2 linked regions of the Alligator mississippiensis genome follow. The protein of the gene in region 2 purifies or fractionates together with the protein of the main gene of each other region. This does not show direct contact. Links are inferred from orthologs where the notes say so. Each region holds a gene or a part of one and is shown on either strand. Other genes may lie near its edges.

Region 1 (10,173 bases), on a different chromosome or scaffold from region 2:
GACATTAAAACAGCTCGTGACAGGAGGGAGTGCATTCGCACCTAGGTAGATTTCGGTGTGGAGGCAGGGATAGGAGATGAGGTAAAGTTATTCTTTATATATATATATAAAGAATATATGTATATAAAGAATATATATATTCTCCCGCGAAGGGCTAGCAAATATTATCAGAATGGAGCTGAGCAAAGCTTCTGCCTTTAATCTGCCGATCAGAGAAGAAAAAGCCCACTTCCTTTCGTTTAATCCAAAAAAAAAAAAAAATCAAAGAGAATTTTCCTTCAGGCTGATATAATTTGCCCCTAGGCTTCTTAGTACAGATCATAAACCTGCCCCGTCCCATTCAAGGCGAGTCGGTACTTTAAAAAGAGCCAGTTGTAAGACTCTCAGCAAAAGAATTCCTATTTCAAAGGCTCAAGCTAGCTTTAGCTGGCTCTGTCTTTATGTTTTGCTTAAAGAATTCCCATAATCTGGTAGGGAAAAAGTTAGAAGGTATTGGATTCAACTGGGTGGTGGGGTGGAAATCAAACACTAAAAATAAAAACAACCCCAAACCCTGAAATCAGCCCGACCTCTCTCTCTCTCTGATTTTGGAAAATGAAATAAGGGAACAGATGTTTGAAATATGCTAGACAAATGTTAGGTATCTTTGGTGGGTAGATGAGAGCATAATTTTTGCCTGTTTCCTTGATTTATTATGTATATGGAGAGCTTTTCGTCATAACTCTTTGTACTGTAACAATAAAAAAGAGCGATATTGAAGCAGAATGTCAGCGAGGAGATAATGTCGGTGAAAGGTCTTTCATTTAAGATTAGACAAAAACGGGGAAAACCAGATTTATCTCCCAACTGTAACTTCCGTGTGCTTAGAGTTGCCTGTCCTTGCAGATTAGAAGCCAGTGTCACACACAGCGAACTGCATTGCTTTTGCTTCCCAGCCCGGAGACTCCCAGGGCTGGCATATTTCCATAGAAAGAGGGAGAGAAAATAATACCAAGGTGGTGGGGCATGAGATCGAATATTTGTTTTTATTAGAATATTCCATGTACATACCTAAGACAAGCTACAAACACAACACGTACAAAAAATTAATAAAATAGAACTTTTTTTGTTGTTGCTTTTGCATTCTTTTAGGTAGTACTCGTTCCTTCAGTAGGGTTTTCTCTCTTTTAAAAAAAAAAGAAAGAAACTAATTACAAAGACCCCAGGGCTTGATTAATTTACCAAAAGAAAAAAAAAACAGAAAAAAAATCTGTAAGTCAATCGTGCATGAAACATTTTTACAAAATTAAGACAATAAACACCAAAAATGACATATATTGCATCACCTCCATTAAATACAAGAGTTAGCAGTTACTAACAGGGACACCAAAGGGGAGAAACACAGGTAAGAGTCTTTTTTTTTTTTTTGGAAGGAGGAATAGAAAGGAAGGGGGGAAAAACTCAGCTAAGAAGCCTCATTGTGACAGATTATTGAAACAGGAGTCCCAGGGCTCAGAATCTTCCAACTGTCTCCGCTATTTTACAGTTCAGCTCTGTCCCCTCCACCTTCCCTGATCTTCTCTCTTTCTTTCTCTCTCCCTCCCTCCTTTTTTTTTCTTTTTAAATAATACTTTCACTCCGTCGCTTTCTCCTCCTCCTCCTCCGCGCTCAGCTGCGAAGAGTTGAGCAGTTTGTTCTCTTTTTTCCATTTCATCCTCCGGTTCTGGAACCAGATTTTGATCTGTCGTTCTGTCAGGCAAAGTGCGTGTGCGATTTCGATCCGGCGGCGCCTGGTCAAGTAGCGGTTGAAGTGAAACTCCTTCTCCAGCTCCAGGGTCTGGTAGCGGGTGTAGGTCTGCCGGCCTCTCCTGCCGCTGGGCCCGAAGGATGAACCTGTTACACAGGGAAAGGTTGGGGGGTTTGGGTGGGGGGGTGGGGGGAAGAAAACACAGGCGTTTATTGGAGTGGGAGATATGCATAACAATGCCAGGGATCTGGCCGCTTAGCCCTCAGCTAAGGGGTATGGGCAGGGAAAGGGGTGCGGGTGCTTTGGACTTCCTCTGCTCTCCCTCTCCTTCTAACGAGAGGGGAAAGAAATGCTCCGGCGACATGAGAATGCCCCTTTGCAAAGCAAAGGCTCCAGAGTGACTAGCTGGCCTGGGAAAGAGCCCTTTGCGTTGCGGCAAAGCTCTCCCTGCTGCTCTGCTCTGAGGCAAACACAACCCCTGAAGGGTTAATGCAGAAGTTGCCTGATATTCCAGTGCGCTGCTCCGAGGAGATTGCTACTGTCGCTTATTGCATTATGGAAAATCGCAAGGTGCCCCTCCACCCCCAAACACCCCCCGAGCCCTACCACTTCTATTTTTCCACCTTACAGGCAACAGTAATAGAGCTGAGCATTTAAGCAATAATGAAGTGTATCGATCTAGGCAAACTCTGTGCATTAAAGAGGATACAACACTTTATGTCCCTGCACTAATGGACATCAATTTGGAACTTAAAAGGCAAGAAATAATGCATCTAAACACGGTGAAGGGGGAGTAGGGGAGCGATGGTGCAGGGTGTGGGGGCGAGTGCCCCGTACATATGTGTGCATTTATTTATTTATTTCTGTATTTACTTTTTTGATGGAAGAGATGGCACTTAAACAAGCCATACATCACAGGGAAGAATTCCTCCTCAGGCAGACTTTTTATTATGTGTGAGTTGCATTAAAAATGTAGTCCTCTCTTTTCAAATATTTAAACACTTTTATATTACTGAACCCCCTCCCGGCTAGCTAGCAAGATAGATGTGTGTGTATGTGTGCGCGTGCTTGCGTGCGCGCGCGCGCGCGCTCGTGTGTGTGTGTGTGTGTGTGTGTGTGTGTGTGCGTGCGCGTGTAAAGTCATCCGGATTTGATTGTGAAGAGATCTTTCCCTCACTCTCTCTCTCTCAACACCGAGAGAGAGAGAGAAAGAAATCCTTTTAACGGAGTGACATAAAAACTGGAGCGCAAAAAAAGGGGGGGTGCGGGGGGGGGAACCAGGCATGGCTAGATACGGCCCAAAGTTGGGCATTTTATTTCTGGTTAAAGATCTAGTGAAAGAGTTGGGGGAAAGGAAGAGAGAAGAGAAAGGGGGGTAGGGGGGATAAAGACTCGGGCAGCATAAAGTTTGTGTGTGTGTGTGTGTGTGTGTGTGTGTGTGTGTCACGAGCAACTTTATTGAGTCTCGCGTGTTGCTTGCCTGGTCCGCTGGAAGTTAGTGTCCTGTTCAGGTTTTCCTGATTCTGTGCGTGTGTGTGCGTGTGTGTGTGTGCGTGCAAATATGAAAAGGGGGAGGAGAAATTAAAAAGAGAGAGAGAGAGAAGAGTAACTCACTGTTGCAGGAGTTCATCCTCTGCATCCAGGGGTAGACGGGCGTGGAGCACTTCTGTTCCTCACTCTCCCCGAACACATTTTTGCTCTGAGCGCAGTCTGACTTCCGCTGATCCTGGCCAAACTGCCCCTGGTCCTCCAGGCTGGAGATGGCACAGGCAGGGTCCTTCTCCCTGTAAAAACCAGCTGTCCCATAGTCACAGGCTGTGGTCCGGCTGTAAGCTCCGTTAGCTTGCTGGTAATAAGAAGAGGAGGGATAGCCCTTCTCCTGGACTCCAGTAGCTCCATAGGTAGCGGGGTAGTGTCTTAAAGGATCCGCATATCCTGAGGAATATAACGGGATCTGTCCCAAGAAGGGCTCCTGCCCAGCGGCCAGGCTCACCGGGAAGGTAGAGTTGACAAAATAAGAACTCATTGGGAGGAGGCAGCCGTCCTTCCCTGGCGTTATGATTTGTTGTGTTTTATAGTCCAAGTGGTTTAGCTATTAGTAGTATATCGGAGATTGGGTTTTAGCTGAAGGGGGATGGCTGGGTGCCAGTGAAGGGACACAAGGAAATAGAACCATCTGATCATGGACTGACCAATAGCAGGAGCCTGAGATTGCAAAATAGCACCCATGAGGGGCTTGGATTCCACGAGGGACCCCAGAACAAACCAGCCGGCCCCTTTTTTTTCCTCCCTTTTAAACAACAGAAATGCACCCCCTTAACCAAACACATATCCGCAAAAAATAAATCCCGGAACGGCTGGCGCTTTAATACACACATACATATATATGTATGTATACTATATATATATATAGAAGCTAATATGTATATAAGCCACACACCCTCCCACACACACACACCCCCACACACGCAGAGAGCAATATAGATATATATGTAAATATCCTGTCTGGGCGGGAAAAAGAAAGTTAATCCTCTCTGTTCTGACAAAGTTTAACCCCTGGCGCCTGCCAATGATCTATAACAGATCGGGGGACATTTCTGGGATTTGTAAAGAAACTTTTATTTCTTTATGTGTGTAATGAATGCCTGCGGGGAGTGGATCTCATCTGTTTCCTTCGCTTAGGGTTAGGGTGGGAGGTTTGGCGGGCGCCGGTGTGTGCTGGGGGGAGTTAATTTTGGTCATTTATTTTTCATATTTATCTAATTAGCATAGATTGGCAGAGAGCGTGTTTCCTTTGAAAGTAGCACGCGCCCGCCTCCTCAAATTCTCCGCTTTTCATTTATTCTGTACCAGAGTTGCCAGGCTGGGAGATGAATGGGAATCGAAGTAGCCCGATTATCCCGGGCTAAATAGTCCGCTAGCTCCAGATCTGTGCACCGAATTGTGCCCTCTTGCGTTTTAGGCTTAATACCAAATCCGTGCCCGGCCCTTCCTAGTTAAAGGCTGCGCTGGGTTACGGTCAAGAGCTGTCCTTTATTGATTGTCACCGATGGAGATTTTTTTTTTTTTTTAAAGCAGGGGACGCTCTTGTTTGGTGGGTCTATTGACTGTAAAGTGAGGCACGATCCCGCTTTTATCTTTGATCATGCTTTCCATCGAGGTCGGTCCCCACGACTGGAACTTCTCTTCATGGACGGTAATGAGGAATCAAGTGAAGTGTCTTACAGAAGGCAAGCGAAAGTCGCTGTCATTCTGAAAGTGGGGGGAAAGACCCCCTGAGCGGAGCGGGCTCTGGGATCCGTGGCTCTAAGGTTCGCTTTTATTCATTAGCAGTAGGTGGGGTTCGCAGTGGCTATTGCACTGCTCTTCAGATTTCTGTACACTTGAGGTATATGTGGATTTTAATATGTTGCCCTACCTCTGGGGCTGTGGAAATGTAACCCTGCTCTACAGAAACTCACTAAACAATTAAATGAAACATTGATCGGTTTGAGTTACAGAAACTCCTTCCTTCCTTCTCTCTATTCTCTTCTCTTCTCTTCTCTTCTCTTCTCTTCTCTTCTCTTCTCTTCTCTTCTCTTCTATGCAAAGAAATTAACTCGACTTCTAATATAGACTCCCATAGTCTTGATTGGGTCTGCTACTACTCTAGAATTACACATAATTACATGGTCACTGCAGAACTCTCCCTGACGGGGGTTAAGTACGTCTGAAACTGGTATCTTATTACGAGCTAATTTATTTTAAACATCGTGTTTACAGCAGCAAAGCCAAGATTGTTTCATGCCACCGCTGCAACTAGCCGTCGACTGACCGTAATCCTTATAATTCAAGGAAATAACATGTAAAGGAAGTAGTTGTTCGCCCTCCCCTTTTCTGACTGGTAGCTATTATATTTGTTCTTGCAGAGTTTTCCTTTGTGTATGGAGTGGACCCAAACCTACGTAGGTCTGCTTTATTGGCATGAAAAAGAGGGGGAATATGGGATTAAAAGAGAAAGTTGACTGTCTATTGAAGGGGGGGGGTGAGAGGAGGGGAAGAGAGAAAGAGAGTGAGAGGAATACATTAAGCAGCCTGAAGTTGGCTGCTTCGCAGGAGCCAAAGAGCTCAGACATTTGATTAGAAAGTTGCGCAATATTTGTGTAAGAGTAAAAAAAAAAAAAAACCCGAGAAAACCTACGATGACTCGCACCGCATGCAGATTTTGGGTGAGAAGTTTGAATGCCTGATATAATGAAACGAGTGAGTAACAGACACATTTGTGTTCATGCAACAAAAACCCTAGGTTTTTTTTTTTTTTTTCCCCTGTAATGCTTTCTGAGTGAGGATTCTTGTTGTGGAAAGTAATAGCCCCTGGAAATAAGTGGAAAAAATGTGTTTTCCCAAAACGCGGGGATGCTGCGCTTATAAGAAATACAGCTCCTTCCAGAGCGGTGTTGGCGAAGCCTGACTTTTCGCAGCGTTGGACTGTGGTCACTTTGACCTTTTTATTTTTATTGGCAGGAACAAAAATAAAATCCACTAACTGCAACTGGCCTCTCGCTAATTGCTTATTGCTGGTGGTTGAGACTGTCTGGGAATGAGGCTGGAGCCCTCTGGGTTTGCAAAGGTGGCTCCACTTAAGTCTAGAGATATTTATGGGGGGAACGATAAAGGGGAGAAAATTGGGTGAAAACGTATTGATCTTTGGCTCCGCTTTGGGGGGGGGAAATATGGTTCTTCAAGTGTTCCTCGTCATTAGATTGAGAAGGACAATAGCATTTGTTTACCAGTTACAAGCTGCTTGTTTGCAGCAGATACTCAGAAACGCATCCGATGACAGGGAGTTGTGTGCCTGACAGAAAACTGATCACTGCTATTATGTTAATAGCTATTTTTAAAAAGTTATCCTAAATCCCCACTCCCTCCATCCCAACACCTCCACCCTTTCCCTGTCTTGGGTTACTGGCTAAATTTTGAAGGTAAATCATTGGGGGAGGGAGGGTGAAAAGGTTTGGTCTCTTTATGTCTTTAAAGGCAGCCAGGCATGAGTAGCGACAAATCTAAACCTCTCAGGCGCTGATACAGCTTGCAGTGTCTATGCCCTGAACTATGTGGTTTCCAACCATATTTCTTAGGATAGTCCCATTGATTTCTGGGCCGCATTTGCTTACAAAATAATCCCAGGGTTTATTAAAAAGCAAGCCGTTAAGTGGTGTAGTGGCTAGACAGCAGGAGGAGGGAGAAAAATGTTTAATTTAAAAGAGAATCCTTCCCCCCCTCCCCATTTCCTGCTGATTGACATAATTCTGTTGGCAGGGTATAAATAAAGAAAAAAGAGACGTATTTACAATATGTACATTCGGGTTGGGAGAAGGTTGTATTTTTTTTTTTTTTTGGTCACACATTTCTCACTCCTGCTCTCCAACTCCACAGATAAATTAGGGGATTAAAACAACCCCGAAATATTTCCAAAGCCAAACAGATCAGAGCCCTGCTGGCGGAAAAGCTAAACCAGTTCAGAACTTAGTGGAAAGTTAAGTGCAGTTGGTTCCAAAAAAAAAGGGCTTTAAATGTGGGGTTGCAATTCGCTAGGCTTCTGAAGTGAAATCGCGGCGGGATCTTCCCAATCAAGAGACTTATTGCAGTCATAAAGTCCAACGAACACTAAGAAAACACTTGAAAAGCCTCTTTACTGTATTTAGGCATATAAAGCTATTATCAGTGGAGAAGATCGTCTGCAATATAAATAGCCACTCAAATTGGTATTAGAAACACGGCATAAGTCATGTTTGCCGCCACAATGTTGGCACATTTCAAACAATGACCCCTCAAGGTGTAAAAAAATATTCTTTCTCCATCAGCACATAACCATTTGAAACTTAATTTCCAGCAATTTAAGTTTAATTTACCTGACTTCCCGTGCAGTGCATAATAACCTTTTTAATGGGATCTTTGAAAAGGAGCAATATTAATCTACCATTGTTCCATTAAAGAGTGCAGCTAATAATTAACAAAAAAAAACAACAAAAAAACCAAAAACAAAAAACGAGAAAGGGGTTGGGGGCAGGAGATTGGGGTAGTAAAAATGTATCTATATTACCTTATTTCCGCTAAAGGAAAGTAATCTGGCTAGGAGAACTGAAAATAAGCAATCAGAGAGGGAGAGGGAAATATCAAAGCCCGGAGCATGCAGGTTGAATGGAGAAGGCGATGGGGTGTTAGGAGTTACAAAATGGAACAAGTTAATCACGGCTGTTGCTAGCCAAAAGCAGAAACTTTTTTTTTAGCATAGTCTCTCGGCATCTCACTTTCTTATAGGAGAATGTCATTGGTCTAGACGTAAACAGTTGCCAGGAAACTGTGGGGTAGTAGAAGAAAACGAGAGAGAGAGAGAAACCTTTTAAAAATAACAGACTTGCATTGTCCCTTTAAGCTACTGTAACTTAAAAGGGAGTCGTCGTCTGCCTTTCCTCTCTGCTCCCCATCCCAGCAACCGCCTCGCCGTTGTGTACACGAATTGACATATCTTCTCCAGACCCCTCCAAAATGATCACTCCGAGCCGTAAATAAAGATTCCTTCGTGTTATGATTAACTGCCTTAAATTTTCATCTCACGTAATTACTTATTGCATTTTACAAGACTCCTGGACCGATTCACTCTTAGGAAACAACCAGCTTGCTTTTTTCTTGTAGTCCATGTAGTTCTATGGGACTTGGACAGACAGACAGACAGACAGACAGGTAGGCAGGCAGGCAGATAGCACTCCCTCCAGATTTATGTGTACATAATCAGATACATATATATCTTAAAATTCACACCATTGCAGCAGGCCTCAGCGTGGAAATGTCTTTGAGATCTGGTTCATGGATGAATGACAGTTCCCCTCCCCTGCCCCTTTTGCTCCTTGTCCACGACACACACAACCGTGCAACCCAAGAATAATCAGTGACTTGAAAAATAAAAGCGGAAAACCGAAATCCTAGACTTGTGCACGAGTTTCAGGGGATATTAATCACCGCAAACCCTTTAAATCCTCTGAAGTTTTCTGGCATCAGACGGTAGATGGCAGCAGATAGTATGGAATGGAGCTGAGTAAGCCGGAGAGCAATATATAATGGGGCGAGACATAAAGAGAAATAGACCTTTCCGTTTTGAAAAATAAACAACTAGGTGATGTTTAAAATATAGGAATTCCTTAATTAGCAACTTATCTATGTTCTCGCGAAAACATTTAGATTTCCTAGACAATCAAACATTAAATGGTGCCCGGGTTAAAGTGATTAAAAAGACTTACTTGCTATGACATTTATCTTTTGGGTTCTACAAGTGGTTTGGCACAGGAGATCTTATAGCATCAACACAAATACATTTAGGAATGGGGACACTGAAATGAAGAACAGCATCATTTCCGCGCACACACCCCCTTTCAAGAACAGCCACAGATCTTCCAAACACCAATAGACTTCCAAGAAAGGGGAAAAAAAAAGGAAAGGAACTTCAAACCAGCATTAAATGCTCTGTTATATATGACAGTATAACAGCCCCAGCAAGAAATATCTTTTAGAAATTAATCTCTGTTTATTATTTCCACCCTGGCTATAATTTACTCTGGACCACAAAATAGGGAGAGTCAAGCGAGCCGATATAGATCATCCTGTTATAAAAATTTTAATGGTTAACTAATGGAGATGTTTGTTCTTGAATCAATCTCTTTTTACATGCACAAGCCTCAGACACCAGGTTATTTACAAAGCACCAGGGAACCAGAGCAGCGTGCCTATTTTTTTAAGTGCTGAGATCTAGAAGGCGGTGGGAGGAAAAGATAGCCCCCTTCGAAATGACGTGCATTTCTGGACTACTATTTTCTTAAAACCAAAGCAAGTCTTTCGGGTGGCTGAGAAGATATGCAACTGGAAGGAACCGAAGAGACATAATTTCTCATAATCCGGTGGCCAGTTTGGGAAAAAGGAAGATGGGAAGGTGGTTTTAAATAATAATCCGTAGACAGGTATTAGAAGCCCTTCAGCACGCGATTCAATGCAAACCCGTTTAATTTCATTACAACGTCATCTTGCACTGGGGAGTTTCACTGGAGGTGGGGAAATGGGGTGGGGGGGGAGAGAAAATTTCTCCTCGTAGCGCTGCAGCTCTTTGTTGCTTTTATTCGGATTATTCTGATGATATTATTTTCTAATTTCCAGACCCTTATTCACCAGGAGTGCAGCGATTTGCCCCCTACGAAGAAACCACCCACATAAGGACGACCCTGGAGAGCACCACAAAACCCAACTGGCTTCCAAATTACTGGGCTCGCCTGGAGACAGGCGAACTGGCGAGATAATACTGCTAGGGAGGGAAAATAAAGCACGACAACAATCCACACAGGGCTTGGTATCTTTTTTTTAAGCAATCTCTAAAAGCTACCATCACCGAGGTGCTCCATTATGCTTGATTCCAACCAAGA
Region 2 (10,341 bases):
TTCCCAGGACCCCAATCACTTTTGCTGCTCTGCACTGGATTCTTTCCAAACAAAAAGAATGCCAACATAACTTACTGTACCTACAGGTGTTTGGCTTTTGCTGTATTTTCATTGTCTTCATGGCTGCATGAGCAGCAGGAAATAACCTAGCAGCCTCTATGGTGCCAATGGCTTCAGGCAGAGGAGCAATGTCAAAGGGGGTATTAGTCCTTACCAGTAGTGGAGGAAATGCCACCAAAAGGCAGAAGCCATGGTAGGGTAGACTGAGCTCCCCAGTGTTGGTTGGCAAACAGTCTAGGAGCGGAGCCCCGAAAGGTGAGCAGCTTGAAGATCTTCATACCGGCAACTCCTGCAGCCAAGCTGACTCCAAATGTACTGGCTTCTGCCTGTCCTTTGGGATCAACCAGCTAGGCTGAGAAGGGGACAAAGAGGCGCTTCAGTTGCCCATATATCTATCTCAACTGCCCACGCCACTGCAGCCAAAACTGAATGGAGAAGATACTCCATCTTTGCTACTTACACCTGTGACAACTGTAGCAGGACCTGAAAGTCTAACATCAGTCTCTACAACTGCAAAGAGAAAATGTACCATGAGTCAGTAGAATAGCTGCAATATCTATCATCACTCACTGATGAGCAGATGCCATTAATCATTACTTTGTCCCAATAACTCTACCCTGCTCTTCTCCCCAAACAGGAATTATTTCTGGGTGGTGGAGGTGAAGGAGGGGTGAGGGAGGTTGCCCTTTGTTCTAACCCCCTCCCAAACCCCAAAACAGCATCTTTTCACCTCACCCTCACCTGTTCTCCATCTACCATTCTTTTTTGTGCTTTCATCCGTTTAAGGCAAAACCCCAAAACCACACCCCATTATGAGATCTAGCATTCATCTTTAAGTCATAATAAATATTTTTCTAATTAATGTGTAAAAGAAGATATCCTCAAATCATGAGATAAAAGCACGAGTTATGGGAAAAATGGTTTTTACTGTATGTGATTAAGCAGTTGTGTAGCTACTCTTCAGTCTCATAACTAGTTTCTATTCTCCCAGCTATTAAGAGTATTCTAACAGTCTAACTTGTATATAGACTCTGCAAGCTGTAGATATGATTTTTTCCCATTTGAATATTTTCACCAGAAGCTACAATGTATTTACTATAGGCTATTCTTTAATGTACACAAGGTTTCATCCACAAAAAATGTAAATTCTTAATGTGTGTACATGCATATAGAAGGGGTGGGGTTGGAAAGGGGTATCATAAAGAGAACGGGACTATAAATGCATATCATATCACCAATACTCAAACTACGGGCCTGTGTCACACTAGATACTGCAAGGTTTTTGCCCCCAATAGTAGGGGTGCACCAACAGAGAATTTGTGGGCTGATACTGATAGCCATTTTAAGGAGGCATATTGGCCGATACCAATCTGACTTCTGATATGCAGGCCTGCAGCTCGAAGAGCCAAGTCCAGCTGGTAAGTCTGTTGTGATGGAAGGGAAGGGAAGAAGAGGGGGGCAGATCAAGGCCCCCTGCAGTGAGGGAGGGAGTGGGGCTGGGGCAGGCATGGGCTGAAGCTGCAGCTCATCCAGGGGGCTCCTCCCACCGCTGCGTGCACCCCAAAGGGCATCGGGGGAGGGGCATTTGCCCCCAGATCTGTGTGGGGTAGGGTGGGGTGGGATGGGGTGCGGCAGGCTGCCTTTGCAGGCTGGGGCTGGTGCTGAGCGGGACTCTTCCTTCCAAGGGGCTGGGCCAAGCTGAGCTCGGGACAGGCGGCAGCACTGCAAGGGGGCTACAGGAGGGGGAGGCTGCGGCCACCTGAAAATCCACCCTAGTCCCCTCAGTCCCTTACTAGCACTGCCACCCACCCCAAGCCTTGATCAGCACCCCCATGGCCCCTTCCCTCCCTTTCCAACACAACACTTACCAGCTGGATGCAGCTCTCCAAGCTGCCAGGCTGTGCTCCTCGCCACCTACATGCTGCGGTACGACTGCATGCGTGCATGGGCCATTTATCAGCCAAATTATCAGCCATATCAGGCCGATTTCTGATACAGTCGATTTTCTTTATATCAGTGCCGATCCCATATTGAATTGCTGCATCAGTGCACCTCTACCAGATAGCATTATTTAAGATATTCAACTTTAAACTGAGATATCCATCTCTCACTTATTTTAGTAGGCTTCTCTTGGTAGTAGTTGGTTTTTTAGCCAAAGTTTTTTCTAGTTTTCAAATGTGTGTATTGCATCTCACCATACATGTAAACATACTAACAGATTTACATGTTTTGAAAGATTCCTCTCATTTAAGATATTCACTATACTTAAAATGAGAAACACTAATAAACCCAACCATCTCTCAAACAAACAAGAACTTTAAAGTACACCTATTATGTATGACATGTTTAGTACAATGACATCTCCTGATGAAACGCCTTGTTTAGGGGTCTGTCAGCTGCTTTAAAAATATTATGCAAAACGTGTCTTAGCCGCTAAAGCACATACATCCAAGCCTGGCTACACGTATTTCATGTAAAACTAAATTTCACACTGACCTCAAATTCTTTGGGTTGTGAATACTCTGAGCTCATCTTTATCATCAAGAGATCTCAAAATATGGATAAAGCAAGCCTCTTATCTGCTATTAATAATAAACTCTGTTTCATTCCTTCAAAAAAAAAAAATAAATAAATAAAAGTTTACAGACCTAAGTAACTTATATTAAGAATGGTCCTTAAGATGGAGAAGCAAGCATGAAATTTAGTAAGAGAAAAGACACAAAGCTACTTAGGAAAATAACCATGAGTGAATGTAAAACCAAATAGGAAATGGGCATTCCAGTATTAATTTACCTACCAGAGAAGGCCCAATATTAAATTTAAACACGGTTAAAATAAATAAAAATATTAAATCTATTATAAAACCTGACATTATATGTAATTACTTCATTGATTCCACTGCTGCAGGATACGCGAGGAAAGATAAATGTAATTGCATTCAGAAAAAACTACTTATTTCAGCAGACAAAAACTTCATTGGTCTTTATGTCAAAGAACTAACCTACAAAGCTATCAATTCACATATTTCAAAACACAAACAGACAATCAAGAGGAGATCAACCCTTTCTCCCATGAGACAGTACCAGAGAAACAACAGTGCTCTTACACTCTCCCCATGAAACATGCTGGCATTTTTAGACCAGGACATCTGGGCCAAACCCGGGTGCCACAGCATACCTGATCCCTTCCCGGGTGCTGCGGGACTGCCACACTGAGGTTACCCTGCTGATGCACACAGCCCGAGTCACAAGGTAAACTTGGAGATGCCAAATAGGAACCAGCAGGATATTAAACGCCCCCGGGGACTTGGCAACAGACCAAGCGGCTCGAAAAAAACGGGTGAGAAATGGGAGCTGGCGTTCTGAGGGGGGCCTGAGGCCGGGCAAGGGCAGCCTCCAGGCCACGAAGACTCTGGCTCCAAGGCGCGTGGGTGGCCGGAGCCGGGCTGTGTCCCAGGCGGCCGCTGCCTCCCGCGGAGAGGATGCCGAGCTCGGCGGCGCCTCCTTCCTTTGCGGCCCCGGCGCCGGGTCCAGAAGAGCCCGCGGCCTCTCTCTGCCCAGAGCAGCGACCGTGGGACCTTCGCCCGCCGAAGACGCTGCCCCTACCCCTGCCCCGGCCCCGCCGCCCGCTCCGCGCCGCCACGCGGGAAGCGCGGGCCAAGCCGGCGGGGTCACGGGGCCCCGGCCCGGCCCAGAGCGCCGCCGCCCGCCCCCCGCAGGCACCTGCCACCCCGATACCTCGGAGACCTCCTCGTCCTCCTCGTCGTCGTCCTCGTCCTCGTCGTCGCTGCCGTTATTGCTGCTTTCGCTGCCGCCGCCGCCGCTCTCGCTGCTGCTGGGCGGCCGGCAGCTGCGGCCGCGCTTCGCCTTGGGCGGCTTCTTTTTCAGCAGCAGGTCACAGACGCGCGCCAGCCCGCGCGCCCCCGCCGGGCAGGGCGAGGGCGAAGCCGAGGAGGACGGCGGCGGCGAGGGCCGTGCCTCGGGGGGGCCCGGCCCGGCCGCGGGGCTCCCGCTCGCCCCGGCCCCGGCCGCCGGGTCCATAGCTGCTGTGCGCGTAGGGCAGCTGCGGCCGCGCTCGGTCACCTCTAGCGCCGGCGCCGCCTCTCGCGAGACTTGTAGCCAGCGCCGCCGTCACGGGCCCGGTAACGCCGGCGCCGCTCCCGCCTGCCCCCGCCCCTCCCCCTGCGTCCTCCGGACACACCTTCCGCGCCTGCGCGCTGCCTGCCGGCGCCGGAAGCGGTGTGATGTCATCAGCCTTAGCCAGCGTGTGCTGCTTCTCAAGCTTCATCCTCCCGGGCAGGAGCACTGTTTGAAGTGGGGTGGCGCGGGGGTCCTTCGCTTTGTCCTCGCCCTGTTGGGAAACGGAAGCCGCGGTTGCGCGGCCGCCCCTGGCTCTGGGTGCTGCGAGACTGCTCTAGCTGCCCCTGGGGAAGCCTGGGCGCGGAGCCCCCGCCCTGGGGCTGCCCTCGGTTCTCGTCTGGACCCTGCAGGCAGCCCCGGGGCGCAGGACGCCCGCCGCACCTGGCTCCCACCCGGGGCTGACCCTGGGTCCACCTTGCCCTGTGTCAAGGGCAGCGTGTGGATGTTGAAAGGGAGTGTGACCTGGGTACGGCCAGGGTTTTTCCTCTGTTGCTTTCCCACGTGCAGCCTCCAGCACTTCAGGCCTAGGCAGTTCTGATCCAGAGGCTTTCTCTTCAGCATCATTATTTTGTAAAATACCCCTATTGTGTCCCCCCTCAGGTGTCTCTCTTCTAAGCTGCATAGGCCCAGCCTCTTTACTCCCCTTACATGAAAGCTTCTCCATCCCACTAGTCATTCTTGCTGCCTCTCTCTGCACCTCTACTTCTCTATCCTTTTTGAGATGAAGGGGCCAAAACAGTATTCGAGATGCATTTATAAAGTGATGTAATGAGACTTTCTGCTTTCTTACAATCCTATTCTTAATAATTCCTAACGTTTTGTTTGCCTTTTTGATGGCTGTGGAACACTGCGCTGCTGTTTTTAGCAAACTGTCCAGATCTCTTTCCTGTGTGGTAATAGCTAATGTAGAACCCGTCATAGTTTAGTCTGGGTTATTTTTGCATCACTTTGCACTTAACTTGTATTGAATCTCATCTGCCACATACTTGCCCATTTCTTCAATAGTGCTAGATTCTTTTGTAGTTCCTCACAGTCTGCCTTGGTCTTTACTGCTTGAAATAATGTTGTTTCATCTGCGAATTTGGCCACCTCACTATTCACCCCTTTTCTAGACCATTTATTAATATGTTAAATGGCACTAGTCCCAACACAGATCCCTGGGGAGACCATGCTGTTTGCAGTGTCACATTCTTACTCGAAATTAAGAAATGTAAAAAAAATGTTACAGATGCCCCTTCAGTTGTGCTTTTTGTTACATTATTTATATTAGAGATGTGATACATTATTAGCTCATTTCCCCCCCCCCCCAAAAAATCTGCACCTCCCCACTTCAGCATACACTACCATCAAGAGGCAGTTTCACTATTTCCCCTGCAGAGTTAAGCTATTCTTCAGTGAGAAAGTAGGGCAGGGTGGCACCTTGGAAACTAACTGGTTAGGCAAGGCATGAGCTTTTGTAGGTGACAGCCTACTTTATCACAAGGCAACAGATGCTGTTGCCTATGAAAGCTTATGCCTCTCCAAACTAGTCAGTCTGAAAGGTGCTACCCTGCCCTGACTTATGCCTGACTTCAGACAGGCACAGCTAAACAGGCCTCTACTCATCCTTCAACAAGAAACATGCCATTGGGCTCCTGCACTAACCATAAGTCTTTGATAATGGATATAAATGAGGGCTTACTCATGTATTATTAAATAAATGGGACATTAGTAAGTTTGCTCTTTTTCTTTTTACCATGGGTCTTTCACTCAGCAACAGGGAAGATACTTAAAAAAAATTAGGACAATCTGATTGTAGCCAGCAATCATTTTTAGTAGGCATGTAAGTGGTTAAACCACAACTGCATTTACACCATTTACTGGCTCCAACCCCTTATGTCCTCACTGTTCTCTCTGTGCTGCCCTGGCCAATGACAGGGGAAGCTGCAGGCAAGGGGTGGCAGGAGCAGCTGAGCCTCTACGGGGCACTGCGGAGCTGCAGCTTCCCCTCATTCTCATGGGCAGGTGCTGGGTCTATGGATGGAGCTGGGGCTGCAGAGCTCTCCTGTGCCAGGATTCTGATCCTGCTATCACAGGGACGGGGAGGGCAGTACCAGGCCCTCACAGGGGTCAAGTGGGGCCTTCTTACCAGTGGGGCCCAGGCAAAGCGGTGGGCCCCCTACACCTCCCACCACGTTTGTGTAGCCTGGACTTGGAAGGCTTATCCATGCTGCCAACCTGGGCCCTCCCCAGCTTCCCCAGGGGAAAGGGGGTCAATCCCAGCACATTTTCCAAAAGATTATCATCTGTGATGCAAGCAAGCATGAAAAGTTCCAACGCAAATAGTCGTATTCCTTCTCTACCCCACACAGTGATAAATGGTGGATACTAGGAGCACAAGTACCTGAACCACTACATCGCTATTAGAATGTTACAATAATATTCCTAAAATTGGTGGGTGATGAAAGGTAGGCAATTAGGTAGCTTTAATTCTTATTCTCTGATTTATAATAGACTAGACTTTTTGATTTAATTTTTAGGCATGAGATCTGAAAAATTAACAATAAGCTAAATTATTAAGTACCACCAAAACTGTCAAGAGTTTGTGTGACCCAAAAGTAATAAACTAAATGTTCTATAGCCTCAAAACCAGCAATGTTTAAGATGAACAGATTTGAATGACAAAGACCATAATCAACTCTCTAGGATACTTGAGTGCAGATCTGTGGGAAAAATGATCTCATCCTCTCTTGCTGAGTACTTTGAGATCTACAGATTAATAGTACTAGACGTGAACTAAGCATTATTATTTTTATTATAATAATCACCACCAGAAGATATGCATGGTACATAAACATAAGTAATTTCTCAGTCTGACAGCCTGAGGCTGACTCCATAAATTGATTGCTTTTGAAACACACAAGTTTATCATTCAAAAGACAATCAGTCCAGAAAGGTGACCTGGACAGTATTATCAACATACACAAGGTGTGCCTGAGTGAAACCTTTAGATTAGAGCTATCCAAATAATGGCTTATGGGCCACCTGCAACCTGCAAGGGGTTAAATGACAGTCTACCTGCTCCCACAGAGGCATCACTTCCCTCCTCAGCTCCAGCTGTTGATTCTGCTGGGGTCTCCAGGCTCCCCCTCCCTTCTCTGGCTTCAGCTTCCTGCCCCCAACTCTGGAGGTGGGGCAGTATGGCCCATGTGGCTTAGGGAGCCTGCAGCAAGGAAGTGGGGGCATCTGTATGGCAGGGCCAGTGGTGGGGGTGCTGGCAGCACGGCATGAGCCCAGCCACTCACAAGCTAAGCATCCCTACTTTAGATAACAAACATAATAATTCTACTTGGCAAGGGACTTAGTGGAGCAAACCTAAAAATTGTCCATTGAAGTTCATGGGCCAAAATTGCCCATTGGGATTCAAATAGAGCTTATAGCAGGCTTTTCACTTGTAGGCGTCCTCAAGGAGAAAAGCTACACTCCTTTCCCTTTCCAGCAAGCTGTGGCCTATTGACACAATTGACTCAAGGATTAACACAGAAGTAGAAGTAAGCCTTCTCAAGTTCCACTAAGATCAGCTTTGAATGTGCATTCAGCCAAATTCTGATGCTTAGCTTTGACAAATATTTTTCTGAAATGTTCAGTTAGGAACACAGAACTGGAAAAGGCCTCCTGGCTCAAGTCCAGCACCCTGTACCTGCAAGCAACCATGCCATATAATTCCTTTCATATTGATCAAGCTCCAGTAAGAGCTAAAAGTGAAAGGTACCAACATTAATGGTAAAAGTGGAGTTGCCAGTTTGGCCACTTCTCCAGCTTCCTTATGATAGGTTCTGACACTTTGATGATATCTGTAGCCCTAGCGCTGTACTGGAAGCCTTTATAAATAAGATCCACTCTTGTTTCATCCATTACTGTGGAGCTGGCTACTTGTATTTCCCTTCTCTGTGGAGGTGGTTGACACTAAATTCCTTTTGTTGTTCCCCTCTCTGCCTCACTTTTACCAAACCCTGAGAATTCAGCAGTGATAAAACAAATGTGGGTAGTCTTTAGAGAGGCTTCCTAACTCCTGCAAACTGTCTTTTCTGCCACTGGTAGCAAACTGCTGAAAGAGAAGCACATGACTCTCAGTACAGGTCAATGAAATAAACAGGAGAACATTTGGATACATTATTAAACTTGTTATGGTGCACTAATCTTGTTTTATAATTTATAAACCAAAATTAATTTCCCCAAAAGATATTGTAATTATTTTTAGAGTATTTTTATCATATTTAATCAAATAGAAAATTAGGTTTTTTTCCCCCAATCAGCATGGGGGAAAAACTCCTTCATCTCCTGATCACATCCCAGAAAACCCCATCCCTGCCATTAAATACATTGGTTAGCATTAAACTGCTGCTAGGAGCAGCATGTGCTTAGTCATGGAAACCAACTATAAAGTTGGCTAAATGCAGCCCATGCTGAGCATACCCATAAAACACCTGGCCCACATTGGGCAAACACAACGATGGGAACCGTTTTTCTTTTCTTTTTTTTTAATTATGAAAGTATCAAAAACTTAAAAACCTGCTTCCACCAGCTTGCAGTGTGTTACAAAAAAAAACTACATCAATCACAGGCCAACAAAACAATAACATATCGAAACTTAAAACAAACTTCAACAAATAAGATCGACCAAAACCACAGAACATTTATACATTATACAATGATTCTCTCCTTCCCCAAATTTCTATTAATCCAGGGACATGGACACTTTTGTTTCTTAATACCACATTATTCCCTGTTACCTTCCAAGCTCATCTATCACCCATATATGGGTGATAGATATATATATATATATAGAAGATATAGATTCTATACCATATATAGAATGGTTCCAACCCACCATTTCAATTTAGGGAGCATAGAAGACTAAACCCCCATCACATGTATAAGTGCCCTATCTATCTTGTCTTAGCCCCTATCATGTCTTTCCTAGCCAACTTCTGGCCTGCAGCTATAGTTCAGCCACCTCTAAGGCCTCATCATCTTTTCATCCTAGATCTACTAGGTATCTCTATTCTTCTCTTTTCCATAAACCCCTCACCTGCTCTTTACCTAGCTCTCTTTTGTCCTACCAGCAATAGCATCCCAGTTAACTCAAGCCCAAATACAAGGTGTCTTCTACCAAGAGTTCCAGTTGTTGCAAGACTAGTAAGTTTCTTCCCTTTTACAATGCTGTGCAAAAGCTCACTACAGTTTTCCATACTATTCCTCCATCCTTCCTCTGAGCCACAGCCCACACTCTGCATAGAATCACTTCTAGCATGAGTTGACTCTGAGCATCCAGCCTCTGTAGGAGTTTCTCTGCCTTTCCCCAGACCATTCTGGCAAACTCACATTCCTACATCACATGCCATATGCTTTCTTCCCAATTACATGTTTGTCTAGGGCATTCGGCTGCTCTACACAGCCCCCAAATATACTGGTATAGAGTGCCCAAACTGGTATAATAGACGTGCTAGCAGCCAACTGAAGTCCCAGTGCTGCTTCTGTATGCTTTTGTTGAACACCCCCTTCCAAATTGCCCATGCTTTTTCCTCTATGACCCCCGCACCCCCCCACTGGAAATACAGTCTCCTATTCCCTGACCCAGACCTTGATTTTTTTATCTAAAAAATAACAACACCCCTCTTTTGCAGCTCTTGTCTGCATCCCATACTGATTCACAAATTTTGAACAGTTTTGTGCAGATTAGTTCAAAGCTCACCAATGTGTTTATGGAGTACGTGTGTTGAAATGTAGCTCTGATTCTTGTTGGGGCCAGAGACAGACTCACAGCAGTCTCCTGTTCCCCACTGCAGTTTCTGTCCTCCTCTCTGTCACTTCCCCCCCTTACTGTCACATGCAGCTCCCTTCCACTTGTGCTTGGGGGGGACTAAGAGCCTGGGCAGGGTCTGACAGTAAGCGGTGGCAGGAAGGTGATGGGGAAAAAGTGCGTATGCAGGGCGGGCGGGGGGTGGGGGGCAGAGGGCAAGGGGGCTACTGGACCATCCCAGCTATTATTTTCCCTGCTGTAGTAGTGGGAGGGGAATGAATTAAAGATAAAACTCTGATAACTAGATTCTGCACCTGGAAAATTACAACAAATGTATTAATTTTCCATATATAGAACCTA

The links. Proteins that work in one complex are often made in the same cells at the same time.
Region 1: the proteins of ANKRD17 (region 2) and HOXB6 purify together in Homo sapiens (co-immunoprecipitation; 3 studies listed by BioGRID and IntAct, with this or other methods). This does not show direct contact. The link is inferred for Alligator mississippiensis from reciprocal best matches to the Homo sapiens genes ANKRD17 and HOXB6.

Annotation. Positions count from the first base shown.
Region 1 is NC_081827.1:168,183,675-168,193,847, forward strand, and holds HOXB6 (homeobox protein Hox-B6), read right to left. Parts: upstream 4,113-10,173; 5' UTR 3,753-4,112; coding exon 3,341-3,752; intron 1,873-3,340; coding exon 1,613-1,872; 3' UTR 1,611-1,612; exon of another isoform or gene 1,164-1,610; 3' UTR 1,007-1,163; downstream 1-1,006. UniProt on the Homo sapiens protein: Sequence-specific transcription factor which is part of a developmental regulatory system that provides cells with specific positional identities on the anterior-posterior axis.
Region 2 is NC_081825.1:166,098,401-166,108,741, reverse strand, and holds the start of ANKRD17 (ankyrin repeat domain-containing protein 17), read right to left. Parts: upstream 4,199-10,341; 5' UTR 4,101-4,198; coding exon 3,798-4,100; intron 1-3,797.